Stegostoma tigrinum: one gene and its partners. The protein of the gene in region 1 interacts with the protein of each later gene in a pairwise test. Links are inferred from orthologs where the notes say so. Each region holds a gene or a part of one and is shown in the gene's direction. Other genes may lie near its edges.

The links.
Region 2: the proteins of BTB/POZ domain-containing adapter for CUL3-mediated RhoA degradation protein 2 (region 1) and exosc5 interact in binary tests that used the Homo sapiens proteins (3 or more experiments, as listed by UniProt). The two-hybrid records come from large-scale screens. The link is inferred for Stegostoma tigrinum from reciprocal best matches to the Homo sapiens genes TNFAIP1 and EXOSC5.
Region 3: the proteins of BTB/POZ domain-containing adapter for CUL3-mediated RhoA degradation protein 2 (region 1) and zmynd19 interact in binary tests that used the Homo sapiens proteins (3 or more experiments, as listed by UniProt). The two-hybrid records come from large-scale screens. The link is inferred for Stegostoma tigrinum from reciprocal best matches to the Homo sapiens genes TNFAIP1 and ZMYND19.
Region 4: the proteins of BTB/POZ domain-containing adapter for CUL3-mediated RhoA degradation protein 2 (region 1) and armc7 interact in binary tests that used the Homo sapiens proteins (3 or more experiments, as listed by UniProt). The link is inferred for Stegostoma tigrinum from reciprocal best matches to the Homo sapiens genes TNFAIP1 and ARMC7.

The regions. Positions count from the first base shown.
Region 1 is NC_081380.1:36,808,462-36,816,538, reverse strand, and holds the start of BTB/POZ domain-containing adapter for CUL3-mediated RhoA degradation protein 2, read left to right. Parts: upstream 1-4,768; 5' UTR 4,769-5,211; intron 5,212-6,070; exon of another isoform or gene 6,071-6,273; intron 6,274-8,077. Other genes in the region: ift20 (intraflagellar transport protein 20 homolog), read right to left, coding at 4,492-4,618. UniProt on the Homo sapiens protein: Substrate-specific adapter of a BCR (BTB-CUL3-RBX1) E3 ubiquitin-protein ligase complex involved in regulation of cytoskeleton structure.
Region 2 is NC_081392.1:8,364,359-8,372,720, forward strand, and holds the start of exosc5 (exosome complex component RRP46), read left to right. Parts: upstream 1-5,315; 5' UTR 5,316-5,361; coding exon 5,362-5,458; intron 5,459-7,563; coding exon 7,564-7,677; intron 7,678-8,362. Other genes in the region: bckdha (2-oxoisovalerate dehydrogenase subunit alpha, mitochondrial), read right to left, coding at 4,903-5,013. UniProt on the Homo sapiens protein: Non-catalytic component of the RNA exosome complex which has 3'->5' exoribonuclease activity and participates in a multitude of cellular RNA processing and degradation events.
Region 3 is NC_081382.1:6,619,609-6,627,004, forward strand, and holds the start of zmynd19 (zinc finger MYND domain-containing protein 19), read left to right. Parts: upstream 1-4,093; 5' UTR 4,094-4,173; coding exon 4,174-4,224; intron 4,225-6,546; coding exon 6,547-6,606; intron 6,607-7,396. UniProt on the Homo sapiens protein: May be involved as a regulatory molecule in GPR24/MCH-R1 signaling.
Region 4 is NC_081370.1:17,570,586-17,577,944, forward strand, and holds the start of armc7 (armadillo repeat-containing protein 7), read left to right. Parts: upstream 1-4,158; 5' UTR 4,159-4,265; intron 4,266-7,359. UniProt on the Homo sapiens protein: As a component of the minor spliceosome, involved in the splicing of U12-type introns in pre-mRNAs.

The DNA.
Region 1 (8,077 bases):
AGCATGATTATTGATATCCTTTTATTACAAGCACCTAAATTTTATTTTTGTACACTGCGTTTTAGTGTGGTTATTGTTAGGAGTCGTCTACAAGCCCCCTATTAACTATTTCCCACCCACCAAACTATTCTTCATATCCACCCAAATTAATTCTACATCCTAACTTGCTGAATGTAGGTCATCTCTAACCATTGCTAATCTGCTATCCTTGTTTAAAATGCTATCTTCTCCATATTTACCTAGCCTCGTATTCTTCTTGAATGTAATATAGCCCACAATATTCAGGACAAAATGATGGTTTATATGTCATATTTATAAATTTCAGTGTGTGCTATCAATTTCTTTTTGATACAAATGCTACATACAAGATAAAGATGGAGGTATCAACCTGATGAAACCACCAACAGGACTACTTGCACACCAGACAGTGAAAGCAGCAAGTGATAGACAGAGCAAAGTGATCCCACAACCAATCGATCAGATCTAAGCTCTGCAGTCGTCCCACATCCAGTCATGAATGGTGCTGGACAATTAAACAACTCATTGGAGGAGGCGGCTCCACAAATTTCCGTATCCTCAATGATGGAAGAGCCGAGCACATCAGTGCAAAAGATAAGGAGCAAAAGAACCATTTGTAGCCATCTTCAGCCAGAAATGCTGAGTGGATGATCCATCTTGGCCTCCTCCAGTGATCCCCAGCATTACAAATATCAGTCTTCAACCAATTCAGTTCACGCCATGTGATATCAAGAAACGGTTACAGACACTGGATACTGCAAAGCCTATGGGCCCTGACGACATTCCAGCAATAGTACTGAAGACCTGTGGCTCCAGAACTTGCCGCTCCCCTAGCCAAGCTGTTCCAATACAGTTACAACACTGATATCTAGCCAACAATGTGGAAAATTGCCCAAGTACGTTCTGCACACAAAACGCAGGACAATTCCAACCTGGCCAGTTACCACCCCATTAGTCTACTCTCATTCACCAGTAAAGTGATGGAAGGTGTCATCAACAGTGCTATCAAGCAGCACCTGCTCAGAAATAACCTGCTCAGTGACACTCAGTTTGAGTTCTGCCGGGGCTACTCAGCTACTGACCTCTTTGCAGCCTTGGTTCAAACATGGACAAAAGAGCTGAATTCCAGAGGTGAGGTGAGAGTGACAGCCCCTGATATCAAGGCTGCATTTGACCAAGTGTGGCATCAAGGAGCTGTAGCGAAACTGGAATCAATGGGTATCAGGGGGCAAACTCTCCAGTGGTTAGAGTCATACCTGACACATAGGAAGATGGTCATGGTTGTTGGAGGTCAATTATCTTAGCTCCAGTACATCTCTGTAGGAGTTACCCAGGGTAATGTCCTCGGTCCAATCATCTTCAGCTGCTTCAATGACTTTCCCTCTATCATAATGTCAGAAATGGGGATGTTCACTAATGATTGCGCAATGTTCAGCACCATTCATGACTTCTCAGATACTGAAGCAGCTCAAATGCAACAAGATCCAGGCATTATCCAGGCTTGGGATGACAAGTGGCAAGTGACATTTGTGCCACACAAATGCCACACTATGACCATCACCAATAAGTGACAATCTTACCACCATCCTTTGATATTCAATGGTGTTACCGTCACTGAATCCCCCACTAGTCAACATCCTGGGGGTTATCAGTGACCGGAAACTCAACTGGACTAACCACATAAACATAGTGGCTACAAGAACAGGCCAGAAGCTAGGAATACTGCAGCAAGTAACTCACTTCCCGATTCCTCAAAACCTGTCCACCATCTACAAGGCACAACTCATGATTGTGATGGAATACTCCCCACTTGCCTGGATGAATGCAACCCCAACAACACTCAAGATGCTTGACACCATCCAGGACAAAGCAGCCTGCTTGACCGCACTACATCCACAAGCATCCACTCCCTCCACCACTGATGCTCAGTAGCAACAGCGTGTACAATCTACAAGATGAACTACATAAATTTATCAAAGATCCTCAGACAGCAACTTCCAAACCCACGACCACTTCCATCTAGAAGAACAAAGTCATCAGACATATGGGAACACCACCACCTCCAAGCCACTCAACATCCTGACTTAGAAAAATATTGCCATTTCTTCACCGTCACTGGGTCAAAATCCTGAAATTACCTCCCTAATAGCATTGTGAATCAACCCATAGCAAGAGGACTGTAGCAGTTCAAGAAGGTAGCTCACCACCACCTTCTCAAAGGAAATTAGGGATGGGCAAGAAATGCTGGCCAGTCAGCGATACCCACATCCCATCAGGGGCGGCACAGTGGTTAGCACTGCTACCTCAGTGCCTGGGAGCTGGGTTCAATTCCACCCTTGGGCAACTGTCTGTGTGGAATTTGCACATTCTTCCCGTGTCTGTGTGGGTTTCCTCTGGGTGCTCCGATTTCCTGCCACAGTCCAAAGATGTGCACGTTAGGTGGTTTGGCCATGCTAGATCACCATAGTGTTCAGGGATGTGTAGCTTAGGTGGATTATAGGGGGATGGGTCTGGGTGGGATGCTCCAAGGTTCGGTTTGGACTTGTTGGGCTGAAGGGCCTGTTTCCACACTGTAGGGATACTACGAAATGAATAGAGAAACAAAATACAATTAGATAGAACCTTTAGTTCTGACTTTTTATAGAACTTTGTAACATCTGTTGAGCCAAACGAATTTCACGAAGATACAAGCAGGCTGTACAGGGTTGATGGGCTATGAGCTTGGAGGCTGGGTGTGTGTGGAATCCCCAGATAAGATGAGATTAATAACCATTGTACAGTTAATAATTCAGCCTGATGTTTCCTGGTGGCACTGTAACCCACGGAAAATAGTTAGTGGTGTCTGGGAGATGGCATTCAGCCTCCACAATATATCAGTCAATAGACCAGACAACAGAAGCACCACCCTTATCAGCAGGAACAATTACAAAGTCAGGGTTGGGTCAAAGAGCGTGCAGTGCAGTCTGTTCAGAGGGATATAGGTTTGACTGGATGGGGGATTGAAGTAAAGGCAGCCAATGTCAGGCAAAAGCTCTCCCAAACAGGTCAAGTGCAAATTGGTAAAAGGCCATAGGAAGGGGTCCAAGTGGAGGCAGCGTATTGGAGGCAGGCCAAGAGATGTCTATTGGTCAGGGAGAGGACTCTTGTCCAAATGAATGGGCATGGAGGCAAAGAGAACAGCAGAAGAATTTAATGTCATGTTGTGCTATTGAAGTAGGGGCACAAAGGGGTAAAACGAAGTCCTTTCCTGAACACAGAACATTCAGAGAACAGAAGGTCAGAATGAATAGTAAATATCTGACAAGAGCTGGGATCAGGAGAAGGCAGCATCTCAGGAGCACAAAAGCTGACGTTTCGGGCCTAGAACCATCAGAGGGTTCTGCAGAACACCTCCGCTCGGTTCGCAATAAACAACTGCACCTCCCAGTCGCAAGCCATTTCCACTCCCCCTCCCATTCTTTAGATGACATGTCCATCCTGGGCCTACTGCAGTGCCACAATGATGCCACCCGAAGGTTGCAGGAACAGCAACTCATATTCCGCTTGGGAACCCTGCAGCCCAATGATATCAATGTGGACTTCACCAGCTTCAAAATCTCCCCCTTTCCCTCTGCATTCCAAAACCAGTCCAGCTCGTCCCCTCCCCCCCACTGCATCCCAAAACCAGCCCAGCTCATCCCCGCCTCCCTAACGCGTTCATCCTCTCACCTATCCGCTCCTCCCACCTCAAGCCGCACCTCCATTTCCCACCTACTAACCTCATCCTGCCTCCTTGACCTGTCCGTCCTCCCCGGGCTATCCCCACCTATCTTCTCCTCTATCCATCTTCGGTCCGCCTCCCCCTCTCCGATGAAGGCTGTAGGCCCGAAACGTCAGCTTTTGTGCTCCTGAGATGTTGCTTGGCCTGCTGTGTTCATCCAGCTTCACACTTTATTATCTTGGATTCTCCAGGATCTGCAGTTCCCATTATCTCTGATCGGGTGAAAGGCCTAATTTAAGTTAAGAGATAACAAGGCGTAGAGCTGGATGAACACAGCAGCCAAATAGCAGAGGAGCAGGAAGACTGACGTGGGCTTAGGTTAATGTAATACAAAAGGGTGCACTGTGAGAGATGTCATCTTTCAAATGAGTGTTTAAACTGATGCTCTGTTGGCCCTCTCAGTTCCAAACAAAAGATCCCATGGCATCATTTCGAAGGGCAAAGCTCTCAGTAATCCTTTCCGACGGTTACCTCTCAACCAACAATTTGCCAATCTGTGGGATCTTGCTATGTACAAAGCATTTTCCATGTTCCCCAGATAACTGCAGCTCCTAAACAAAGAAGTACTAAATTGGCCACCGAAAAATAAGTTTCGAAAAGTTCCGGACTGGTGAGAGGCTTTGTATAATGTACATGTTCTGTCTATCCTAGTTTTCTTTACCATCCTCCCGCAACCCCTCCATACCGTGACAGATATCCTGCTCCGCACCTACTTTCTATAAAGTCCTTGCACTCCTCCTTCAATTCTGTTGTACTTTGCGCCACCTCAGGGTCCAGGACCCTGAGTTTGTTGAGTTCGTCGAAGTGCAGGCCGGCCTCCCCGAGGGACTCCATCGCCATCAGAATCAACAATACCCTCTCGTCCCCTCTGCCGCTGCCACGGCGACAGCGACGGCTCTCTCCGCCCTGCTGCGCATGCGCGGTCACAGGGGGCGGGGCACCCACGGATGTCGCGCGTGCTCAGTATCAAAACTCACTCAGTCTCTCAAGGTAGTGTGGGTTTCTGCAACATTATTTTTGATCTTTCTTACCAGACAGATTCTGGAGAGCTGAAGAACTTTAGTTTGCCGTTTGTCCAGAGTATTGTATACAGAAGGATTTAAAAAGAAATCTCACTGCAACACAAAATAACGGTTGAAGCTAGCGAATCTTCGCTCTTTGTTGTTTTAAATGATCATTTATCGGCGAGCTCCAACCATCGGTGAGATGGCCTGGGCGACTGGACGGCACTTTAACTGAGCCATGAAAGTGCAATCCAGCGGCGGGAAATATATCTGCGCGCGTGCGCACTAAATCGGGAGCCGGCGTGTGGCTAGCGCGCGTGCGCAGTTAGACGAGTACGGACGGGATCGAAGTCACGTGTGAATGCCCTTGCGCCGGAAGAGAAGGAGGAGCGGAGGCGGTTTGAATGGTCGGCACGGCAACTGCTGCAGGTACTGGGCCTACTTCGGGGGTGGGGAGGGTTTTAACGAACGAATAAACAAACTCGCTTTGGACAGTGTTGTCAGAACAAAGTTCAGCAAAGCGGACTGAGCGATTGTCGATAAAGAGATGTCAGTGACCGCCTCAATGGAAGCGAGTTTAGGCTCCTCATGGCAGCTGGAAGAAGTGATCGTAGAGGATGGAACTCCCTCAAACTCGCCCCAAATCTGAGAGCTCTAAGTGAATTGTTTAAGCAGGCTAGGCCATTGGTTTAGGTTGAAGCTGGATATTTCCTAGGTTGCATCGGTTTCATCGAGTTTTCCCCTTTACCTCACCAATACTTTCTAAAAGACCACACTGTATTCGACAACAGAAATTTCTTCTCATGTTGGAAAGACCGAAGGAGCCTTCAGCTTTTGTTGCTTTCAGCCCCTTGGGTATCCATTCCACTCCTCTCCTCAGTAATTGTCTGACATTGAATCTGATCGTTTAAAACCTTTGTTTTGAAGCGAGTTTAGGCTCCTCATGGCAGCTGGAAGAAGTGATCGTAGAGGGTGGAACTCCCTCAAACTCGCCCCAAATTTGAGAGCTCTAAGTGAATTGTTTAAGCAGGCTATGCCATTGGTTTAGGTTGAAGCTGGATATTTCCTAGGTTGCATCGGTTTCATCGAGTTTTCCCCTTTACCTCACCAATACTTTCTAAAAGACCACACTGTATTCGACAACAGAAATTTCTTCTCATGTTGGAAAGACCGAAGGAGCCTTCAGCTTTTGTTGCTTTCAGCCCCTTGGGTATCCATTCCACTCCTCTCCTCAGTAATTGTCTGACATTGAATCTGATCGTTTAAAATCTTTGTATTGAATTTGACTTCAATATGAGTCCCAAACAAAGACTGCCTGTTTCCACCCCTGACTGTGGTTCAGCTCATCTGCTGAAACAAATGCATGTGTTTGCTACCTTTAGACACAGCTATTCCAATGTGTTTCAGCTTCTCGTGATTTACCCTTCAATACATGTATGTGCATCAATCCCCTTCAGTATCAACTCTGCTGACTTATCAACATTGGATCCAGTTAAGTAATACTTACATTTTGAAGTTTTCATCTTTGGTTTCAGATTTTGCCACAGCCTTGTCCCTCCTTATCTGATTTTGTTCTTATTTATTTAGTTTTATTTTATTTATTTTTGTCACATACCGAAACTGAAGAGAAGGTGCAGAGAATGATGAGCTCTAATATATGAGAGGTCCATTCATAAGTCGGATAACAGAAGGGAAGACCCTGTTCTTAAATTAGTTGTTACATGTTTTGAAACTTTTACATCTTCTGTTGATGGAAGAGGTGGGAGGGGTCTTAGATTATGTTGGCAGCTTTTCTGAGGCAGTGGGAATTCTAGAGCGAGTCAATGGAAGGAAAGCTGTTTTATGTGATGGTCTGGGGTCCGTTCACAACTGTGCAATTTCTTGTGGTCTTGGAAAGAGCCATACCAAGCTGTAATATGTAATATAGGATGCTTTCTATGGTGTATCTATAAAAATTGGTAAGAGCCATTGTGGACATGCTGAATTTCATTAACCTTCTGAGGAAGTAGAGGCATTAGAGTGCTTTCTTGACTATAGCATAGATATGAATGGATCAGGACAAGTTGATGATATTTACTTCTAGGATCTTGAAGTTCTCAACCATCTCCATCTCAGCACCATTGATACAGTCAGGGGCGTGTCCTCCACTCTGCTTCCTGAAGTCGATGGCCAGCTGTTTTATTTTGCTGACACAGAGAGAGATTGTTGTCTTTACACCATGCCACTAAACTCTCTATCTCTTTCCTGTGATAATAAGGTGTAGAGCTAGATGAACACAGCAGGCCAAGCAGCATCATCGGAGCAGGAAAGCTGACGTTTCGGGCCTAGACCCTTCAAATTCAGTTTAAGCTTAAATTTGTGAAGTACAAAAGAAACGGTAGTCAGCAGGAGAAGTGAAGCTAGGTTTTTTTTGGGCTTGGAAATGAGTATGTAACGGTTCAGATAAGGCACAGTTGATAAGTGAGAAAAGCATATTTAATGTCCATGCTAACATTGTTTGGCTCAAGATCTGCAGGTTATTCAAATGTAATGAAGCCTAAATTCTCAAAATTGCAAATATTCAGATAATAAAATGACGGTGAGCTGCAAAGAACTAGGTCGGCCCGAAATGTCAGCTTTCCTGCTCCTATGATGCTGCTTGGCCTGCTGTGTTCATCCAGCTGTATACCTTGTTATCTCAGATTCTCCAGCATCTGCAGTTCCTGCTATCTCTATCTCTTTACTGTACTCTGTCTTGTTTTTGTTTGAAATCTGACTGACATTGGTGGTGTCAACATGTAAATGGAGTTAGAGCTGAATTTGGCCACACAGTTGTGTGTGCGTAAGGCGTTTAATAAGAGGCTAAGCCTTGCAGAACAGTGGTGTTGAGTATTATCATCAAGGTCTTGACACCCATCTTCACTGATTGCAGGTCAGGAAGTCAAAGAACCAGTTGCAGTCAAGCGAGCAGAGTCCTAGGTCTCGGAGTTTAGAGATGAGTTTGGTTAAAATTATGGCGTTCAAGGTGGAGTTGAGGCCAATAAATAGTAAGTGTCCTTGTTATCTACATGTTTCAAGGATAAGTGTAGGAACACAAAAACGGCACCTGCAATGAACCTGATGCCACGTGCAATCTCCTCCAGCTTCTCCGACTCCCTGGATGCCTGTAATCTTCAAACTCTGGTCTCTCGGGTTTAGTTCCTCTATTGTTGGTGACTATATCTTACCCAGTCCAAGCCTCATTCCCTCCCTAAAGATTTCTGTTGTGTTATTTGTCTTTCTTCTTTTACTACACTTAAACCTACTGCTTTGACCA
Region 2 (8,362 bases), on another chromosome or scaffold:
AAATCAGAAATAACAAAGGTATAGAGCTGCATGAACACAGCAGGCCAAGCAGCTCAGAGGAACAGGAAAGCTGACACTTCAGGCCTAGGAGAGATAATGGGAACTGCAGATGCTGGAGATTCCAAGATAATAAAATGTGAGGCTGGATGAACACAGCAGGCCAAGCAGCATCTCAGGAGCACAAAAGCTGACGTTTCGGGCCTAGACCCTTCATCAGAGAGGGGGATGGGGGGAGGGAACTGGAATAAATAGGGAGAGAGGGGGAGGCGGACCGAAGATGGAGAGTAAAGAAGATAGGTGGAGAGGGTGTAGGTGGGGAGGTAGGGAGGGGATAGGTCAGTCCAGGGAAGACGGACAGGTCAAGGAGGTGGGATGAGGTTAGTAGGTAGCTGGGGGTGCGGCTTGGGGTGGGAGGAAGGGATGGGTGAGAGGAAGAACCGGTTAGGGAGAAGACCTCCCACTGACTGAGGACGAACGGTCAGTCCTGAGCAAGGGGCTCACCTTTGTCCCCCTACAACCACACATCAACGAATACCAGTCACGGTCGGACATAGAGCAGTTTTTCCGCCGTCTTCGCCTGCATGCCTACTTCTTCAACCGGGAACCCAACCCTCCTTCCACTGACCCCTTCACCCGCTTCCAACACAAGTCCTCCTCCTGGACACCACCCCCAGGCCTCCTACCCTCCCTCGACCTCTTCATCTCCAACTGCCGTCGAGACATTAACCGCCTCAACCTCTCCACCCCTCTCACCCACTCCAACCTCTCCCCCGCAGAACGGGCAGCCCTCCGCTCCCTCCGCTCCAACCCCAACCTCACCATCAAACCCGCAGACAAGGGTGGCGCAGTGGTAGTATGGCGTACTGACCTCTACATCGCCGAGGCCAGACGCCAACTCTCCGACACCACCTCCTACCGCCTCCTCGATCATGACCCCACACCCGAGCACCAAACCATCATCTCCAACACCATTCATGACCTCATCACCTCAGGGGACCTCCCACCCACAGCCTCCAACCTCATTGTTCCCCAACCCCGCACGGCCCGTTTCTATCTCCTTCCCAAAATCCACAAACCTGCCTGCCCTGGTCGACCCATCGTCTCAGCCTGCTCCTGCCCCACCGAACTCATCTCCACCTATCTGGACTCCATTTTCTCCCCTTTGGTCCAGGAACTCCCCACCTATGTCCGTGACACCACCCACGCCCTCCACCTCCTCCAGGACTTCCAATTCCCTGGCCCCCAACACCTCATATTCACCATGGACGTCCAGTCCCTGTACACCTGCATTCCGCATGGAGATGGCCTCAAGGCCCTCCGCTTCTTCCTGTCCCGCAGGCCCGACCAGGCCCCCTCCACCGACACTCTCATCCGCCTAGCGGAACTCGTCCTCACACTCAACAACTTCTCTTTTGACTCCTCCCACTTCCTACAGACTAAGGGGGTGGCCATGGGCACCCGCATGGGCCCCAGCTATGCCTGCCTCTTTGTAGGTTACGTGGAACAGTCCATCTTCCGCACCTACACAGGCCCCAAACCCCACCTCTTCCTCCGGTACATTGATGACTGTATCGGCGCCGCCTCTTGCTCCCCAGAGGAGCTCGAACAGTTCATCCACTTCACCAACACCTTCCACCCCAACCTTCAGTTCACCTGGGCCATCTCCAGCACATCCCTCACCTTCCTGGACCTCTCAGTCTCCATCTCAGGCAATCAGCTTGTACCTGATGTCCATTACAAGCCCACCGACTCCCACAGCTACCTAGAATACACCTTCTCCCACCCACCCTCCTGCAAAAATTCCATCCCCTATTCCCAATTCCTCCGCCTCCGCCGCATCTGCTCCCACGATAAGACATTCCACTCCCGCACATCCCAGATGTCCAAGTTCTTTAAGGACCGCAACTTCCCCCCCACGGTGATTGAGAACGCCCTTGACCGCGTCTCCCGCATTTCCCGCGACACATCCCTCACACCCCGCCCCCGCCACAACCGCCCCAAGAGGGTCCCCCTCGTTCTCACACACCACCCTACCAACCTCCGGATACAACGCATTATCCTCCGACACTTCCGCCATTTACAATCCGACCCCACCACCCAAGACATTTTTCCATCCCCACCCCTGTCTGCTTTCCGGAGAGACCACTCTCTCCGTGACTCCCTTGTTCGCTCCACACTGCCCTCCAACCCCACCACACCCGGCACCTTCCCCTGCAACCGCAGGAAATGCTACACTTGTCCCCACACCTCCTCCCTCACCCCCATCCCAGGCCCCAAGATGACATTCCACATTAAGCAGAGGTTCACCTGCACATCTGCCAATGTGGTATACTGCATCCACTGTACCCGGTGCGGCTTTCTCTACATTGGGGAAACCAAGCGGAGGCTTGGGGACCGCTTTGCAGAACACCTCCGCTCAGTTCGCAACAAACAACTGCACCTCCCAGTCGCAAACCATTTCCACTCCCCCTCCCATTCTCTTGATGACATGTCCATCATGGGCCTCCTGCACTGCCACAATGATGCCACCCGAAGGTTGCAGGAACAGCAACTCATATTCCGCCTGGGAACCCTGCAGCCATATGGTATCAATGTGGACTTCACCAGTTTCAAAATCTCCCCTTCCCCCACTGCATCCCTCAACCAGCCCAGTTCATCCCCTCCCCCCACTGCACCACACAACCAGCCCAGCTCTTCCCCCCCACCCACTGCATCCCAAAACCAGTCCAACCTGTCTCTGCCTCCCTAACCGGTTCTTCCTCTCACCCATCCCTTCCTCCCACCCCAAGCCGCACCCCCAGCTACCTACTAACCTCATCCCACCTCCTTGACCTGTCCGTCTTCCCTGGACTGACCTATCCCCTCCTTACCTCCCCACCTACACCCTCTCCACCTATCTTCTTTACTCTCCATCTTCGGTCCGCCTCCCCCTCTCTCCCTATTTATTCCAGTTCCCTCCCCCCATCCCCCTCTCTGATGAAGGGTCTAGGCCCGAAACGTCAGCTTTTGTGCTCCTGAGATGCTGCTTGGCCTGCTGTGTTCATCCAGCCTCACATTTTATTATCTTTACTTCAGGCCTAGGTCCTTCTTCAGAAAACAGATTAGTGCACCTTCACTGTACTCCCCACAACAGCAAATTTTTTTCAGTAAAGAGAGACCAAAACAGCACATTATTCCACATGTAGTCAAACCAAAACCCCGTATAGTTATAGTATGGCTTCCTTACTCCTGCAATGAACGTTAACTTACTATTTTCCTTCCTAACTGCTCAGTAAAACAGTGTAAAAAGGATCGAAAACAGGAGTTGCTGGAAAAGCTCAGCAGGTCTGTCAGATTTTTTTCTTCACAGATGTTGCCAGACTTGCTGAGTTTTTCCAGCATCTTCTGTTTTTGTTCCTGATTTACAGCATCTGCTGTTCTTTCGGGGCATTTTTTTAAGTGTAAAACAGATGCCCAGACCCTTCAGACACCCAGTTCCCAATCTATGACCCTTCAAACAATACTCTGTGATTCTGATTTTTTTCTGCCAAAGTGATCAACTTCATACTTGTCCATGTTACACAATTTCTCCAATGTAATTTATATTTCCTCATTCCTGTAAATGCCTTAAGTGTGGCGCTGAGAATTGGATGAAAAACTCCAAACTAGTAACTTATACAGCTCTCATAACTTCCATGTCTTTGTACTCTATGCTGCATTTATGAAATCTAAGATCCCATATATTTTGCAACTCCCCTGCCACCCCACAGCCCGATTCTCCCCTTTAAAACTGTAACCTTCATTTTATATTGCCACACTGCATTCTCCTCAAAATGAATCACTTTACACTTACCTGCTTTCACTTTCATCTGCCATTTTAATGTAACCTGTATTGAGGATTATATAGAGCAAAACTAACTAATTGATTTCTAATTGTACCAAAACTGGGAAAATCAACAGCGTACCCGATGGAGAAGCAGAGAATCATTGATAGCAATTTCTGAACTTGTACATTTAAATGCAGACTTTTTCCAGTTTTGGAGGAATAACAACTGACAGTGCATGGAAGATGACCACCTTCAAGTTTCCATTCAACTCACAAACCATCTTGACTTGAAAATATCTCACTGTACCTATAGCAAAATTCTGGATTTCCTTAGTGACCAGTGCGGCAGATGTACAAACACAACACACACTGCAGTTTAATAAGACAGCTCACCAATACCTTGTCAAGGGCAGAGGGAGGCTGAACAATTGCTGCACTCACCTGTAACACTCTCCATTACATTACATCTATAATTAATAACATTACAACTATAAATAAATATAGAAAATAAACTGAATTCAAAATTGCCCAACCAGTATGATAGGATTTGGGGGATTCACATCCCAGATTATTAACAAACAATTTGTTTTAGAAAGTAGTTGCGGATTCGTAAGTTATGAATAATGAAAAAGTATGAAAAAGTATTTATGATAAGTCACGAAGCAAGCAGCACACCTAGTAAGGTTATGACACAATAAGGTAGACAGCAGTAAAACGTTAGGAATTCTAAGTCATTAAAGAATCAATAGTTATGATTTAGACATTGTGACGATTAAAGTCTCCGTTATGATTTATTAATTGTGAAGCAGAAAGACAGGAAAGTTATTATTTATAGCTTAAAGTTTTGAAGCAATCAGTGAGCCTCGTAATCTTACGTCCAGTTATTCAGTTAAAATGAAGCAATCAGTAAATCTAGTTAAGTTCTGCTATTACGTTATGAATCACAGTAAAACTCCGATTGCATGTTTAGGTTGTAAAACCCATTGACTAGCCAGACCCAGGATCCCACCCCCTCTCCTGACCAATCGGCTGGAGGTGGTCCGGAACCTCGGCCCAGAGTGATTTTACCCTTTGGTCAGGCTCTGGGAATTACTCACCCCGGTAGATAGGGCACGCCGAGACGCGGAGAGGGCGATCTGAGCCCGGGAGACGCGGCTGTTCCACAAGCCGCTCCATCTTACTCCCAACTGCCTGACAGCCGCCGCCATGTTTACTGTCTGTCCAGCCGCCGCCTGTACTACATTATCACCGCCTTCTGAGGAAGAGCAACAACAAGCGCGGGGCCCCCTTCAATGAGACCGAACAGCAGTAAAAGCCACGCAGGTTAATTTGAAAAGGAACGTGCTTTATTTGCTGTTATTGTGTAAAGGCGTACAGTAAGTTGTCCGTAGAATGGGGGTCCTTGGTGAGGGGCTGCTGCCCCCAGCGGAGCATGGCCTAGAGGTCCCACCCAATCTTGATTTTGACTGGTTAATATTGTGATGTACTGGTTTCTGATTGGTGGAGATCACCGTCAGTTAACAATGGAGGGGGCCTGACAGTCGGTGCTGCTTGGGATGGAGGTAGGTGCTGAGAGTCAGCAGCAACTGCGGCCTTTCGGCAGTGAACACAGTCTCTTGTCCAGGCCCGATGGCTCGGCCTGCTTCACACAAGGTAGGTGCTAGCCCTTTACCTTGGGAAGACTCTTTCAGACCCTACTCTGTCCCCCCCCCCGCTTACCCAAGTCTTATTGTAATGTGGGACACTCACTGTGGGAAGGCAGGTATGAGGAGGGTGGTGTGGGGTTGGGATTCTGGAGATTACAGATGGGGAGCTCATTTAGAGCAACAAGGAAAAATTATAATTCATTCGTCTCTCTTCTGACCGACTCTCAGACTTGCATTCCCACTCAAATTACTCAATTCTCATTCTCCCACGTTTCTGATGTTTCAGCAAGTTATCTTCTCATTCTGCTAAACTCCATTGAGTTCAAGCCCATCCTACTCAACCTCTCCTCGTCAGATAATCTTCACACACCAACCCCCTCCCCCGACCCTGATACACCAGAGTCAATTGTGTGATCTTCTGAGGACTGGTTCAATGTCAGTATATTTTCTTTTAGATAGGAATATTTATTTCTCCTAAAGTTCTGTATAGATCCGCAACTAACTCCACTGCTCCTTGCATCTCTTATCCATTCGCCACGGCCCTGTGTCAATTTCAAAATAGCCTCACAGTTTCACACACTCTCAATATCTCTGCATCAGTTCCATACACTGGTAATATTTACTGTGTGACTCTCTTTCCCCACAGCACTGTATTATCCACAGCCAATATCACTGTTTGGCTGTGCCCATTGCCCTTTATTAATCTCATGTAATCATAGAATCATTACAGTTTTGGCCCATCGTGACTTGCAGGCAATGTGAACATAGTCCATTTGGCCCAACCATCTCATGTTGAGTGTAGCACAGTGGCTCAGTGGTTAGCATGTCGCTTCAAAGCGCCAGGGATACAAGTTCGATTCCAGCTTCCAGCAACTGTCTGTGTGGAGTTTGCACATTCTCCCTGTGTCTGTGTCAGTTTTCTTGGGGTGCCCCATTTCCTCCCCCAGTACAAAGATGCGCAAGAGATAGTAGGAACTGCAAATGCTGGAGAATCTGGGATAACAAAGTGTAGAGATGGATGAACACAGCAGGCCAAGTGGCATCTTAGGAGCACAAAAGTTGACGTTTCAGGCCTAGACCCTTCATCAGGTTTCTAAGGGTCTAGGCCTGAAACATCAGTTTTTGTGCTCCAAAGATGCTGCTTGGCCTGCTGTGTTCATCTAGCTCTATACTTTGTTAACAAATGTGTGCAAATTAGGTGGGATTGCCATCACTTGAAATCTTCAAGACCCAACTTTTGATTATTCTCATTGATAAATTTTCATAATCAGGGTGGCCAACTTGGAAGGTCATCCTTGATTTCAATAACACTACCCATAGAAATGTTGGTGAAATAGATTAGACTGAGATGCCAACACAACTAAAGCAGAACCTATGATTGAAGAACATTTTGCCTACTATCTTGTGCACAATTTATGTCAATTGGACAATCTATTTGTTATTACATTGCTGTTTGTGGGAGCTTTGCACAATTTATCACTGTCCATGTTTTAACATAAAATTTAGGAGCAGGAGCAAGCCATTCAGTTCATGAACCCCTGCTCTGCCAGTCAATAAGGCCATGACTAATCTGGTGGGCATAACCTCCATTTTTCCTGCTCATCTCCCTTAAGCTTTGAGTCCATTGTCAAACAAACATCTGCCTAACTCCAACTTCAATGTATTCAGTGACCCAGCTGTGACTGCTCTCTGGGGAGAGAATTCTGAAAAAGAAATTCATCCTCATCTCCATCTTAAATGAGAGATCTTTGTTCTCCGTTCTCCCAGGAATAGAAAGATCCTCTTGGCATCCACCCATGTCAAACTCCCTCAAAGTCTCCCTGGTCAATAGGTCATAACAGTTGCTGCACATCAAAAGTAACTAAAGTGCTTTATGGTGCCATTTGGTCATGAAAGGTGTTCAGCTATTTAAACATCAGTCCATTTTAAATCTTGTAAATGCCTCAGTGATGTGGAACTAGCTTTTTTCTAATTAAAAATTCTGCTAATTTTCTTACTTGTGAAGGAGCAACTGTGTCTATAAAGTCACATTAACCCTTTGTTGCAATGCTCCCACTAAGCAATGCCAACCTATGTTTACAACCTTTTGGATGCTTTCTTTGTAAACTTAAGGGGACACGACAGTCCTGGCTGCAGTGTATGGACCAGCAGAAGTAAAAGTCAGCAAAGAGATCTTCGACAAGGCCACGCTAGATGTCCTCCTAAAGCCAAAAGTTGGATTGCCAAGTAAGTGATGACCTCGTTCTTCAAGGACCGCAACTCCCCACACCGCGGTGGTCGAGAACGCCCTTGACTGTGTCTCCCGCATTTCCTGCAACTCATCCCTCACACCCTGCCCCCGCAATAACCGCCAAAAGAGAATCCCCCTAGTCCTCACATACCACCCCACCAACCTCCGGATACAACACATCATCCTCCAAGACTTCCGCCATCTACAATCCGAACCCACCACTAAAGACATTTTTTCCATCCCCACCCTTGTCTGCCTTCCGGAGAGACCACTCTCTCTGCGACTCCCTTGTCCGCTCCGCACTCACCTCCAATCCCACCACACCCGGCACTTTCCCCTGCAATCGCAGGAAATGTTACACTTGGTCCCACACCACCTCCCACTCTCCCCCAGGCCCCAAGATGACTTTCCACATCAAGCAGATGTTCACCTGCACATCTGCCAGTGTGGTATACTGCATCTGCTGAATTCGGCTTGGCTTCCTCTATATTGGGGAAACCACGCGGAGACTTGGGGACTGCTTTGCAGAACACCTATGCTCGGTTCGCAATAAACAACTGCACCTCCCAATCGCGAATCATTTTAATTCCCCCCTCTCATTCCTCAGATGACATGTCCATCCTGGGTCTCCTGCAGTGCCATAATGATGCCACCCGTAGGTTGCAGGAACAGCAACTCATA
Region 3 (7,396 bases), on another chromosome or scaffold:
CCCCTCGTCGTCCAGTACTTCCCCGGAGCAGCAGGAAGGTGCCATGTTCCTTGCAGCCTTTCACACGTCATAGATGACGATGAGCATCTCACCAAGATCTTCCCTACACCTCCACATCTTCCCTTCAAACAACCACCAAACCTTCAACTGATCACCATTCGCAGCAAACTAGTTCAAGACAACATCGACCATGACACTACACTACCCTGTCACAGCAACCTCTGCAAGGCACGTCAGAACATCGACATGGACACTACCATCACACGTGGGAACACCACCCACCACATGCACAGCAGATATTCATGTGACTCAGCCAATGTTGCCTACCTCATACCCTGCAGGCGAGCATGCTCGAGGCTTGGTACATCAGCGAGACCATGCAGACGCAATGACACCGGATGAATGGGCACTTCACAACAGTCTCCAGACAGGAATGCTCCCTCCCTGTGGACGAACTCTGCAGCGGTCAAGGTCCTTCAGCCTCCGGTCTTCGGGTAGGTGTCCTCGAAGACGGACTTCAACATACACAACAACACAGAATCACTGAGCAGAGAATCATAGCTAAGTTCTGTACCCATGAAGACAGCCTCAACCGTGAAGTTGCGTTCATGTCGCGCTACAGGTGTTCCTACCACACTGTTCTGTATCTGTCAAATCTTCCTCACTGTCCTGTTTTGATAGCATCACCTTGAAACGTTCTTATGATCTCTCTACCTTAATTAGTTTGCACAGTTTTGGTTTACTTATTATATTCTTTCGCATACAAATACACACATATGCACACATACACTCTCTCACACAAACACACTCTCTCACACACATAATACTCTCACACTCACATTCAAGCACACACGTACACACATTCACTCTCTCTGTCTCTCTCTCACACACACATAAAAAACTATGGGGTGAATCATTTCATCCAACATGTTTGTTTACATTCTATTTTATTCAAGAAACACACAATTTGTAGCAGTCAGTCAGCGTGGCACTTTATACATTCTTGCTTTTGGAAATAAAACCAGCCTGTCTCCAGATTAAAACTCTGAGATAAATTCTGAACAAGGCCTCACACCTACAATTCAGTGTCTGACCTGAGATGTCACCTTTTATATATTCCTATTGCTCTGCCTGTTTGAAGTGTGGGAAGTTAGGCAAACATTGATGAAAGCTTTAATTATCGCAGGGCAGTGACTTGAAACAGATTCTGGATTGTGCATCTTAATCAGTCGAAACTTGCGCCCCCTTTCTAACAGAGTTCTCCATACCCTGCTTCTGCAATTTCTAGAATGCAGGAATGTATGAAAATGATGAAAGATTCAACAGGAGGCAGGCAGTCAGCCATTTTAGGTTTGTTCACACACACCAGTTGTATGACCATACAATCCTTTGGTCTCTTTGCCCTTTATCTCTCTGCCTTTAAACTCTGTGCCTGTGTGCTCTCCTCTCACTGCACCTGATGAAGGGGTTATGCTCTGAAAGCTTGAGATTTCAAATAAACCTGTTAGACTTTAACCTGGTGTCATGTCATGTTTGCCTTTGGCCACCCCTGTTCAACACGGGCATCTCCACAACAATACAAGGTTAAGAATGGCCGTTTCGCTAGTTTGATTATCTATATATTGTTTCAAGAAGCCTCTTGGACACAGCTAATAAATTCTGCCACAGTACCAAAGGAGTCCCAGTCAATACTGAGGAAGTGGAAATCACGCATCACAATAACTGTTTTCATATCTTTCCATGATCTGCCAATATACCTGTTCCTCTGTCTCCAACTGGCTATTGGGAGGCCTATCTCTTATTCCTGCGTTCTGCCCACATGTCTAAAATAAGACATCTGCAATAGGGAGATTTTCTCCTTTTGTGTTATTATTAATTTATAAATAATTACTGAATTAATGAGTAATGTACCTAAAATGAATATCTGTATGGGCTATAAAGTGAAATTAACATTTCTCCTGTCTGAGCAAGTTAACCATGATGAGAAGTACAGACTCCTGACTGGTGGCAATATGTTTCTCTCACTGGTAAGCCCCACCACCACTCCATCTCGGACACTGACACCAATGCCTCTGGGCACAGACCAAGGGACTTCACGCAGCCTGTGTCCGTGCACGGTGGCATCTGACAATGTACCAGCGCTCCGCAACATCATCGCATATTTCTGATTCACTTTCATTACAATTCTGGTACGTCTCATTACAATGCTGCTCCATTGTTACAATGTGTGTAGGGACAGGCACATGGACTGGCCTGAGATGCATCCCTGGTCCATGTAGTTGTTGTTTTAGTCTTGCCATTTTGTGATTTTCTCTCTCAGACAGAATTTGTCAGCAGATCATACAAGGTGTGGATATCTTGCTTTACGGAACATTGCTATGCCTATCTCACAGCTGCACATTGAGCCAGTAGAGTACAGAGCAACATGGCTATCTGGCTAAATCACGCAACGGGGGGGCCATGGTCAGTTTGGAGAGGTTCATCTGTTAAAGATCAGGCTGAGGTAATTGGGCAGCCAGTGCTATTGATAGGTGGGTAGGTAACTCAATCAGAATTGGATGCAGAATGCTGGGATGCGAGGGGATGATACAACTAAGAGGGTACCTCAATACATAGACATGGAGAGATGATACAGCAAGGGTCGTGTTGCGAGGCGGTCATCAACAGTAGTGTACTACCAAATCTGTCATGTTTACTTGATGTGTTTGGAATGGAGGGGAATGAGGTGAGTGTCAGATGGGCAGATACAGACTCAAATAGACAGCTTGGTTGAATTACGAAAAATGGTCACAGGACTTGAAATGTTAACTCTGTCTTTGGTCTCTCTGCTCCTCTCCCCTGCTATACTCTGGATCTCTCACTCCTCTAACCCCTGACACTGCGGTACTCTAACTCACTGGTCCCCCACTCCCAACACTCTGCATTCTGACTACCTATTCCCCCCTGTACACTGGATCTCTATGCCCACCCCACCCCCGCCTGCCCCTCACTCTGACTCTCAGAAGGAACTGAAGGCATTGTTGCTAAGTTTGCAGATGACACATGAAAGGGGGAGGGACAGGTGGTGTCGAGGAAGCGGGGAGGCTGAAGGACTTGTATTTGAAATATGCAGCTTTGGGCCCCATATCTAAGGAAGGATGAGTTGGCATTGGAGTAAATCCAGAGGATGTTCATAAGAATAATCCTGGGAATGAAGATCTTGTCAAATGGGGAGCAGTTGAAGACTATGAGTCTGTACTCGATGGAGTTTAGAAGGAATGGAGGGATCTGATTGAAATTTACAGAATACTGAGAGACCTGGATCAGGCGGATATGGTGAAGATGTTGCTACTAGTAGAAGAGACTAGGACTCAATGGCGCAGCCTCAGAGGGAAAGGGTGATGACTCTTTGGAACTGAGATGAAGGGGAATTTCTTCAGCCTTACCGTGGTGAATCGGTGGAGGAAATCATTGCCTCAGAGGGTTGAGGGAGCCGAGTCATTGAGTGCCTTTAAGACAGGGATAGATGGATCAAGGGTTAAGGGGAGAAGGCAAAAGAATGGAGTTGAGAAACGTAACAGCTATGATGGATAGCATGGTGGCGCACAGCAGCAAGGACACAGGTTTGATTAGTTTGCACATTCTCCCCGTGTCTGTGCGGGTTTCTGCCAAGCGCCACGGTTTCCTCCCATGGTCAAAGAAGTGCAAGTTGGGTGGATCGGCCGTGCTAAATGGCCCATGGTGTCTGGCGATGTATAGGCTAGGTGTGTTAGCCATGAGAAATGTGGGGTGACAGTGACAGGGATAGGGTAGGGGAGGGCTGGGTCGGTGGGCCTGCTACTACACTGTAGGGATTCTATGAAATGGCGGTGCAAACTCGATGGGATGAATGGCCCAATCCTGCTCCAAAATGAGATGGTCTCTCTCTCTCTCTCTGTTCTGTGGTTCCCTGGGCTCTGTGATGGACAGGGCGCCCGCGGAGAGCGATGGGCCCCGCCCCTTGGGCAGCTTCCCGCGAAACTGACGTCACCTTGGTAACGGTTGCCCCGCGTGACGGCGCCAGGCGGCCTCCCATTGGCCGCGGCGCCACCGCTGACCCCGCGGCGCCCTCCGGAAGCGTTTGCGCGGAGGCGCGGGGCCGGTGTCCGGACGCGTGTCGGAGCGGAGCGGAGAGCTGAGGCGGGAGGGGGTGCCATGTCCGACTTCAAGCTGGGGATCGTGCGGCTCGGCCGGGCGGCGGGCAAGGTGACAGTCGGGTAGCGGGGAAGGGGAAGAGACAATGTGGGAGCTGGGAACGGTCGGCGGTGTGCCGCTCCCGAGCCGGCTCGCAGCTGCCGAGACTTGGGAGGGGGTGGGGCGAGACCGAGGCCTGCTGGCCGCTCGCCGCTCGTTGGGGGCCATGTGGCCAGCGGCCGGGGTGCGGGCCTGCACTCTCTTCCCCGACGGCGATACGAACTCTTGGGGGTGGCGTGCCTCCCGAATTCCTTCCCCCTGCTCGCTGCCCCGGGTTGACCTGAAGCGGCTAATGGGGGCGCGGTGTCCCTGTGCCGTTGCCATGTGCTCAGTCTGCTACGGCCTGGCCTCAGCCTGGTATCGGGGCTTGGCGAGGCACGTGTGGCTTGCCCTGGTGTCCGCGTTGCGCTCCCGCTGGCTGGGGGAGAGCCCAACTCCCTGCCTTACACTTGGATCAGTGAGGAATGGCCTGGACAGGGAATCCTCTTTCAAAGCGATGCCTGAGCGGCACGTAAAACTGCCGCTTCGCAAGGCCGAAAGAACTTATCCCTCTTTTAAAAGTAAATGAAAATTACAGTAACTCAACATTGATACAGGCTTTGCAGCGCGACTTGTTGACTCTGTGGCATGAGGAACTACTCAGCTTTAGGTAGCCATCAATTGACGAACCAGGTAACTTGAGCCGCTTCCAGATCTCATTCGTTTGCGATGATGAGGTCTGAGTTAGTGAACCTTTTTTTATTTGGTCTTTAGAATCCTGTGTATCCTTGCACAGCACAGCCTTGATGAACCTCTGCAAGGATTTATCAAATCTCCAGATCGTTAGGTTGTAAAGTTTATCTTCTCTGCATGACAGCAGTTCTCTGTCTCAGTTTAGGTGCACCAACCTTCACCTGCTTGCAAAATGTAATTCCTTGTGCCTAGTGATTCCCAGTGCATCAAGTTGCCTTTTTTAAAAATTTTGGTGTGATAGATTCAACATTGTCTGCTTCTAGGTTGGAGATATGCTATTGAGACACAATGGTGGAGAGCAATACACTGCTGTTGACTGTCTCACAACTAATGTGCAAGTACTTGATGTTGCCACATAATGTATATTTTAAATGGGAGAACAGTCTCAGTCCTTAACAGAATGAGCACAGGAGAACTGTGAAAAGTGCTTTGGGAGGTCTGGTTGCTGGTGCTGCCTGTAGATATTCCTCAGAGTTTAGTGATCTTAGAAAGAACCCAAAGTTACATTTTATAGTAGAATCAAATGACCAGAAGTGATCTAGAGGCTGCAGTTATACTGCCTGATTTGTATCCAGGTTGAGGGCTTTCCTCCCTGCAGAGATGTGAAGGTAAATTGCAACTCCATAATGGGTGCCAACCTGTCTGAAATGTGGTGGGAGAATCCTGGAATAAGATTCTAGAGACACAAAAACAATCAAGCGTTTGGCAGAAAGACCAGGAAAGAATTGCCAGCTAGGCATGAGCATGTCTGTATATGTGCTTTTCCACAAGGCCGGGGTCCCCCACTGCTGTACTATGATGGTTCAAATAGAAAGGACTTTAATAAATAGTACTATTTACAAAGCAAGGAGGTGTTTCTTAACTGGTTGATGCTTAGAATTCAAGCTGGTTAATTTTCGCCTGAGAATACCTCATCAGAGAGTAACCAATAACCATTATCTTTTCATTTCAGGCAAGGTGCTTATGAATCACAAATGTGCCCCCCTTGTCTCGCTTCTTGGAGCTAAATAGCCTTCCATTATTCTGTTCCAAATATGGCTACTTGATATGTTCCTGAACATCAGGTTTTTGAAATGAGTTGGGACTTATTTCCCCTTGAGAATTCTGGAGGAAATTGCAATGACATTCGGTTTTGTAATCCTTCTGATAGCAGTTACTGAGTTACATTGTGGGAGTTCTTGGGTAACAATCAGTAACAGTGGGGGTGAGAGGGGCATTGGAGGGCAGGGGTGTGTGACAGTATGAAGATGCTGGGATGCATTTGTCACAGCAACCATTGCCTAATGTCAGCTGCTTAGCATTATGATTCAGTTTCCATTGTTTTGACCCACTTACACTGGAGGTAGATTGGAGTTTGATGGTATGTTTTGCACTAATTCTAATCTTGCAAGTGTGTGCTCATTCCCTGGTTGCTTTTGTGATGTTCCCGTTTCAGCAATTGGGAGTTTGACCTTGTGTCTGCTAGTAACCATTATACTGCAGACTGGCTGTTATCTGTCTCCCCAGTTGTGCTCTCAGGTTTTATCGTTAAGTTGCTGCTTCTACAGTCCACACTGATCTTTCTTAAAAAGAGATTAACAAGAAATCTATTTCTGTTTTCAGACTAAGTACACACTAATAGATGAGCAAGACATCCCACTGGTGGAGAATTATACCTTTGAGGTAAGAGAGCATACAGACAGACTTCTGAAATTAATTTAACACTCATTTTAAGGGCCTCCTGGTTGAGCATCTTTTCAGTTGTCACACTTCTTTGTAAACTGCCTTAAAGGTGCTGCACAAAATAGAACTTGTTGCAGTTATGTCTAATATTAGACATGGTGCTAGGATATGAACTGTTTGCTAGGAAATGAGCTGGTTTGTTGTGACCAGTTATCACCAGGACTGTAGGCCATGAATGAATGATATAATGTGGTTACCAGACAGAGTCTGCTTGCACGAGACTGGGCAAATGGTGTGACTTGAGATGGTTTTCCCACATTGTAATGTGCAAATTTGCTTCAGGATACTCCTGAGAACCATCCTTAGAATGTCTTATTATATTGGAAGTGCTATGTGAATGGAACTTTTATTCTTTCATGGGATATGTGGGTTGCCGCTGAGGCCAGCATTTCTTGCTCATCTCCAATTGTATTAGAACTGGGAGGCCATTTTCAGAGACAGTTAAGAGTCAGTCCATTACCTTAGATTTCGAGTCATATATACATCAGATCTGCTATTATTGGTTTCTACAATGATCGATTGTTTCATGGTCATCACTACTAAAGCGAGTTTTGTTCCAGATATGTTGCCAATCATTTGAAGTCAGTATGATGGGATTTGAACCCTCATCTCTACCACATTAAGCCAGGCCTTCGATTTACTAGTTCAGTTTCCACTACATCACTGTCCCTATCATTGTTGAAAGGATTTTGTACAAAGATGGAAGGTTTCGATGGGCTGCTGTGGACAG
Region 4 (7,359 bases), on another chromosome or scaffold:
CAACCAAGAGTGTATTGACCAGTTGGACAGAAGTGCTTCAGCAACAGGTGTGAATGTGACTTTCTGAAGAAAAACTGACAGTTATATTGAGTTTGTTGTCACTTCTACCCCAATTAAAATCATTAGAAAGTATCTTTTGGGCAAGTCAAAGGGCCATGTACTGATGCACTACTTGAGGATGGATCCAAGTATGAAACCATAGTGACAGGCCAACAACAATTACATGCATTGGAGTGACTAGCGCAATTGCTATAGCCAGCAGCTCACACTTAAGGAACAACTTTGGACACCTGTAAAACATTTGATATAAACAGCAGCGTCAGAAGTTCTGTTCAGGGAGCTGGATCAGTGTCAAGGACTCTCCACTTGTAAATAAAGTGTGACTTGGTGATGGGATACTGGCCTGTATGAAGTTATTTCAGATACCAAGGGTCACTGGATATTTACATGCATGAAATACAGTTACAAAGGCCAAGACATAACCCTAAACAAAGTACAGTTGACCAACAACACGATGTAACATTGTTACACTGGCAACAAGGAAAGTGTTAATATACACAAATGTGAATGATTGTTGAGGTTCAGAGTCAACTGCACCAAAGGCAAATTTCAGAAAATGCCAAGCTTTCCATATTGTTAACCTCATACACCATGTTAACAATCTTAGATGATCAGAAACTTTTACAACCATTTATACTGTACGGCCTGAAAAGGTAGGACAACACACACTAAAGATTAAAATTGAAATGGGAGCCAGGGTCAACTTACAACCATTACATATCCTGAAAAACATACCAATGTTGCAAAGTTGAATAGCGTTTTTGCTGTTAATAAAATGATAGGGGAGAAAGGTGTATGTTTCCTTTAAAAGATGATGTGTTGTTTAGATTGGAGATTAAACAAAAATGTCAGCAGGCAGCTGCTGATGAACGGAGAGTACTTGAAATTGAAACAATGTATCAAAAGGCTAGACTGTTAGCAGGCAAAGCAGCATTTTTGCCAAGACAAACGGTTTTTGAATTTAGCCAATTAATTTAAATGAGGCCCTAGATACAAAACCCAATTAAATCTAAAACTGATAGTTTTGACAACATAGGACCAATCCTATTGGAAGAAATTAAAAGGTCATCAAGGGTATAAAAGAAGAGAGTATTTGAAAATTGGTATGGGAGTGAATAACCATCTGAAGAGAAAATCAGAGTCTCACAGAAACCTCTAAGCTCTCAGAGTAAGCAGCATCTAAACAAAGGTACGACAGCACTCTTAGCTGATATTCCTGAGATAAGAATTCAAGAATTTAACTGAGAAAGACATTCCTAAATGGAAAACAGCAGTGAAGGCAAAGAACATTCTAGAAGACTTATTCTGGCTGTAATTTCGAGGCGCTAAGTTTTTTTATTACTTTGCTTTATATAAGTGGGACTTGTATTTATTGGAACAGCATAGCATTTGAAGGGTCTAGGCCTGAAATGTCAACCTTCCTGCTCCTCTGATGCTGCTTGGCCTGCTTTGTTCATCCAGCTCTACACCTTGTTATAATAGCATCTGAATTTTGTTTTATTTGGGATTAGTTAGCAGTTAAGAGGGGGATTGTTTGGTTTGCTAGTAGTTCTGTTAATTTATTCACTGCTGGAGTTAGATGAATAAATTATCTCTTGTTGCTTATAAAGTGAGTATCAGGGATTTCTTTCATTTAACCGTTCCTTTATAACAGATTGGTAGTGAAAGGCAGGCTGTACCACTTTTCACACTTCCTTTAAGTGTTTATGAGGTGAGGGAAGCTTCTCTGGGTTTTTCAGTTTTAATTATCAGAGAGGCGATGACCTCACCTCTATAACACCACAATATATGTAATTCCATGGACCACCAGTTCCATGCATTGGAGGAATCACAGTGTAGTGCTAATATGCAAACTCATCTTGGCTTCCCAAAATCTTCTACCTGGTAGATGCCAGTGGTCCAGCAGTGGCAAGTAATTCTGCTATAACGTGTCTTTCATTGACGCAAATTGGCTGTAACGCGATTGATGAATGGTGGACACTGTTTGGATAATGCAAACTTTCTGCAGTATAGGTATAGTGATTTCCGTATAACACGATTTTCTCTGGCAATTTTCTATAGCGTGATTTTCTGCAGCTTGAGGTTACACAAGAATGCAACTATTACATTGTAAGATGACTACCTGTATTAACATATCTCAGTATAATACTTTGAGATTCAAACCACACCCACTCTATCAAACCAAACCACTCACAGTGCAGTCAAATTAGTCAATGATCTTCAAAGATATGGCATTGAAATGAAGTATAAGCCAGATATCAGGCTGATTACATCCAACATGCTGGGAAGATTTGCCAACCCCCACGAAGACCAAGATATTCTGACTGATCTATGGATTGATGCTCTAAACAATGAAGTTGATGATTCTCAAGATTCTCAAGATTGATCTGCTACACTTTGATGAAAGCCTGTGTGAACAATTGTAGTGGATAACTGCCAAAGCTGAGCAGCTATGAGAGTTGCAAAATAAATTATCCAAGGATGGTCTAACAATATTGATGAAATGCCTGAGAAGACTTGTTCGTTTTGGCCAAATAGATGCTCACTTGCTGTATCATAAATCATCAAAAACAAACTTGTCCTAATAGCAAAAGTATTACACCAAAATATGAAGACTTTGTTAACTGGAGACACATGAGTATTGAACACACAAAATTGTAAGTATGTGAATCTGTGTACTTGCTGGAGATTAATTGGGATATTCAGTGACTTGGGAACAGATGTGAGGCATGCCAAACATATCAACCCTCGCAGTAGAAGGACCTTCATAACCACATGTGCTATGTAGAGAGTGACCCATATCATTTCATTATCCCATTATCCATGCTCAAGCAGTAAGGCAAGATTTTTGCTTAGCGTTACTGCAATTTCACCCAACATCAATGGAGAAAGGGTTATGATCCTTAACATAACTTATATTTGAAAGGCAAGTATGAATGGTCTTCAGAGATAATCGGAACTGCAGATGCTGGAAAATCCAAGATAACAAAGTGTGAAGCTGGATGATCACAGCAGGCCAAGCAGCAAGTCAGGAGCACAAAAGCTGATGTTTCGGGCCTAGACCCTTCATCAGAGAGAATGGTCTTGCCCAGATACCAGTTCAATGGCATTCCTGATCATGGTGGTGGATTGCAAAGCAACACAACCTAATACAGAGCAATATATGGCACATCTGTCATGTGTGAAGAGAATGAAGATCACTCCAGTTTGATGGTTGCAGTGATTTTGAATACATCTTCATGACAACTTAATTTCCTATCTAGCTTGTCAGCAGACTTGGAAAGACTACAGGCAGCCAACACATGTTGAATCAATAACATGGATTATAGATCATGGAAGTCTAAACACTAATTCTTGCGTTGCAGGCGAATTAGACAGCCAACGTAAACGTTTTATTTTATTTTGATAATTTACTAATGGATGAATGTACTGTACTCAAACACAAACAATAGTGAACACTTTCAGAAGAGAACAGGAAGTCAGGAGGTAACCAGCCAAAACAAGTTCATGACCTCCGCATGAACAGTACCCATTCAAACGTTTCACGCACATAGTTATGAAACATTTGACTCAGACTGATTTGCAAAGTACTAAGATCGTGTGTTAAATTACATGATAGATGTGCCATACATCGGTCTGTACTGGCTTCTGTAACTTTGCAATATACCAGCATGCTTTTTGAAAGTATCGTGTAGTTGTCAGTCGTGACTTGACAGTCACTCTCCTCTATGTCACAGGGCTGCCATTCTGGGTCTAAAATTTACGCCGATCCTCCAGTATAATGCTGAGGTTTGCTGTACTTTCAGTACTGTTCTGATTTTAAAACCAAGATCGTGTCTGCTCTCTCAGATGCCCCTAAAAGATCTCATTTCACCATTTCAGAGAGGTGTCCCTTAATCATTAGAGATATTAATTGTCTGTTCATTATCGCATGATTGGTTCTGGAACATGTTGTGCTCAAACTGATTGCTGTGTGAAACACTTCAAAATCACGTGAGATGTCCTGTGTCATGAAAGGCGCTGAATAAAAAAAGGAAACGATTGAAATGGCCTTTTAAATGGAAATGCATCCTCGCCGCCCGTCGGCGCTGCCGGGAAGACGAAGTGGTGTTGTGGGTCATATGCGCATGATCAGCGACGAATCTCGTAAAAGTACGGTTACGTTTTTTTACAACTTCCGTCGATGGGGATTTTGAGTTGATCAGGTTGTGTCCTTTATTTATTATGTTCTTGTGTGTTGATGCGGTTTTTTTTCGTTACACTGGTTCCGTGAATTTTATATTATTGAGAAGTTGATTTACGCCATTCACAATTTGACTGCTTTGCTAACGTTTCCGAGAAGATTAGTGTTGTTTCAAGTAATTAGTTAGATATCTAGTACCAGGATTTCAATCAAACCGGATTTAGTCATGAAATAGATTCAGAGATAGTAGGAACTGTTGATGCTAGAGAATCTGAGGTAACAATTTGTAGAGCTGGATGAACACAGCAGGCCAAGTAGCATCAGAGGAGCCGGAAGGCTGACATTTCGGGCCTTGAAAATGTCAGCCTTCCTGCCCCTCTGATGCTGCTTGGCCTGCTGTGTTCATCCAGCTCTACAAATTGTTTTCTTATTTACTCATGAAATAGTTCACTATCTAGGAACATTTTCCTGTATGGTAGGTTCTATACCAACTCAAACATTTCAAGTTCAAACATTAAGAGATAGCAAGAACTGCAAATGCTGGAGTCAGAGATAACAAAGTGTATAGCTGGAGGAACACAGCAGGTCAGAAAGCATCAGAGGAGTAGAAAAGTTGACATTTCAGGTCCAGATCGTCTTGGGGAAGGGAGCTCTGAAATAAATAGAGATGAGGGATGGGTTGTGGAAAGTGATAACAGGTAGGGAGCGGTGGGGATTGTTCGGTGAGGTGGGAGGGACAATAGGTGAGAGAGAAGATGGATGGGTTGTGTTTGAGGGAGAGAGGGTTGGGTATGGGATGATGCTGGGGGTGGGGAGATTTTAAAACTGGTGAATTCCATGTTCAGACCATTGGGATGTAGGCTCCCAAGGTGGCATATAAGGTGCTGCTGCTCCAGTTTGTGGGTGGTGTCATTTGAGACACTGGAGGAGGCCTAGGATGGACATGTCACCCAGGGAGTGGGAGTTAAAATGGTTTGTGATCAGAAGGTGTTGTCATTGCTTGTGTACAAAGCATAGATGCTTGATGGAAATGGTCTTTGAGTACGCCTGGTTTCACCAATGTAAAGAAAACCACATTGGGAGCAGCTTAGCATCAGTAGACTAAGCTGACTGATGTTCAGGTGAACCCCTATCTGATGTGGAAGGTTTGTTATGTGCCTGGAATTGGAGGTGAGGTGTAGGGGCATGTGTAGCACTTCCTGCGGTTGCAGAGAAAGTTGGTGGGGTTAGTGGGGAGTGAATGAGGGTGTTGCAGAGGGGGTGGTCCCTATGAAAGGCAGGTAGGGGTGGAGAGAGAAAAATCTCTTTGGTTTTGGGGTTGGATTGTAGGTGGCGGAAGTGGTGGATAATGATATGTTGGATGTGGAGGCTAGTAGGGTGATATGAGGACAGTGGGGATTCTGTCTTTATTTTTGTTGCGGGAAGGGAATGTGAGGGCAGAAGTGCAGGAAACACAAGACAGGCAGTTGAGGTCATTTTCGATCACTGGAAGAGGGGTGGGGAATGTTATGGTCCTTGAAATAGGAGGACATCTGGGATATGCGGGAGTGGAATGGCCTGTCTTGGGAACGGGAGTGGAGGTGGAGGAATTGGGATCACACTCTCTTGCAGGAAGGTGGGTAAGAGGAGTTGTAGTTCATGTAGCTGTGGAAGTTGGCGAGCTTGAAAAAGATGTTATTTTCGAGGCAGTCACCAGAGATGGAGATAGAGGTGCCCAGGAAAGAGAGGGAGGTATTGGAGATGGTCTAGGTGAATTTGAGGTTGGGGTGAAAGGTGGTAGTAAAGTTGAACTGTTCAAGCTCCTCTTGGAAACCTGAGGCAGCGCCAATACAGTCTTCAATAGAGTGGAGGAAGAGGTGGGTGACAGTGCCAGTGTAACAGCAGAAGAGGGGCTGTTCTACATCTCCTATGAAGAGACAGGCGTAGCTTGGGCCCCTGCACGTGCCCATGGCCACACTTTTTGTCTGTAGTAAGTGGGAGGAATTAAAGGAGAAGTTGTTAAGGGTAAGGATGAATTCAGTTAAGTGAATGAGGGTGTTTGCGGAGGGGGATTGGTTGGACCTGTGGGAGGGGAAGAATCAGAGGGCTTTTAGACCATCTGTGTGGGGTTACAAGTGTGCAGGGATTGGATGTCCATAGTGAAAATGAAGTCTTGGAGGAGGTGGAAGGCATGGATGGTATCTAGGGCATAGCTGGGAAGTTCCCTAACTGGGGGGGGGAGACAATCATGACAGTAAGTAGAGATAAGTGAGGCTGTAGCAGGAGCAGGCAGTTGGGCAGTCAGGTTTGTGAATTTTGGGAAGGAGATGGAAATGGGCAGTGTGGGGTTGGGGAATGATGAGGTTGGTGGCTATAGGTGGGAGGTCACCTGAGGTGATGAGGTTATGAATGGTTTTAGAGATGATGGTTTGGTGGTCAGGGGTGGGGTTATGATCGAGGAGGCAGTAAGAGGAAGTGTCAGAAAGTTGGCGCCAGGCTTTGGCTATGTAAAGTCTCCCTTATCTGAAGGTTTGATGGTGAGGTTAGGGTTGGAGCTGGGCAATTTCCTGTGCAAATAAAAGCAAAGCATTAGGATGTTGTAAATCTGAAATAAAGCCAGAAAGTGCTGAAAAGCAGCAGGTCTGGGACCATCTGTAGAAAGACATACAGATTTAATATTTTGACACTAAGGCCTCTTTGGAACTGATAATTGCTGGAATATACGGCCTTTATGCTGCTGATAATGGGGAGGGGGAGCAAGTGGAACAGATGGTGGGTGTGCCTGGAGTAAAGGACAAAGGGACTGCTTTGGAAGTTTTTAAAAAAAGGTATAGATGGTGGTTGGTATTTTTAGCAGAAAACAGGTCAGCTCTCCTGAGAGCAAACCGTGTAAAAAGACTTCTGGGGGAGGGGTGACGGTGTATGGCTGGTGGCCAGAGTGGACAGTAAGGTGTAATCAGAATGGAGGACAGTGTTCAGAGTCTAAAGTTGTCTATCTCAATGTTGTGTTTTGAAGACTATAAAGAGCCTCAGTGAAAAATAAGGTGCTGTTCCTCCAGCTTGCATTGGACTTGGCTGCAGCATTGCAGCAGGCCAAGGTCAGAAATGTTAGTGTGAGAGCAAAATGATGTGTTGAA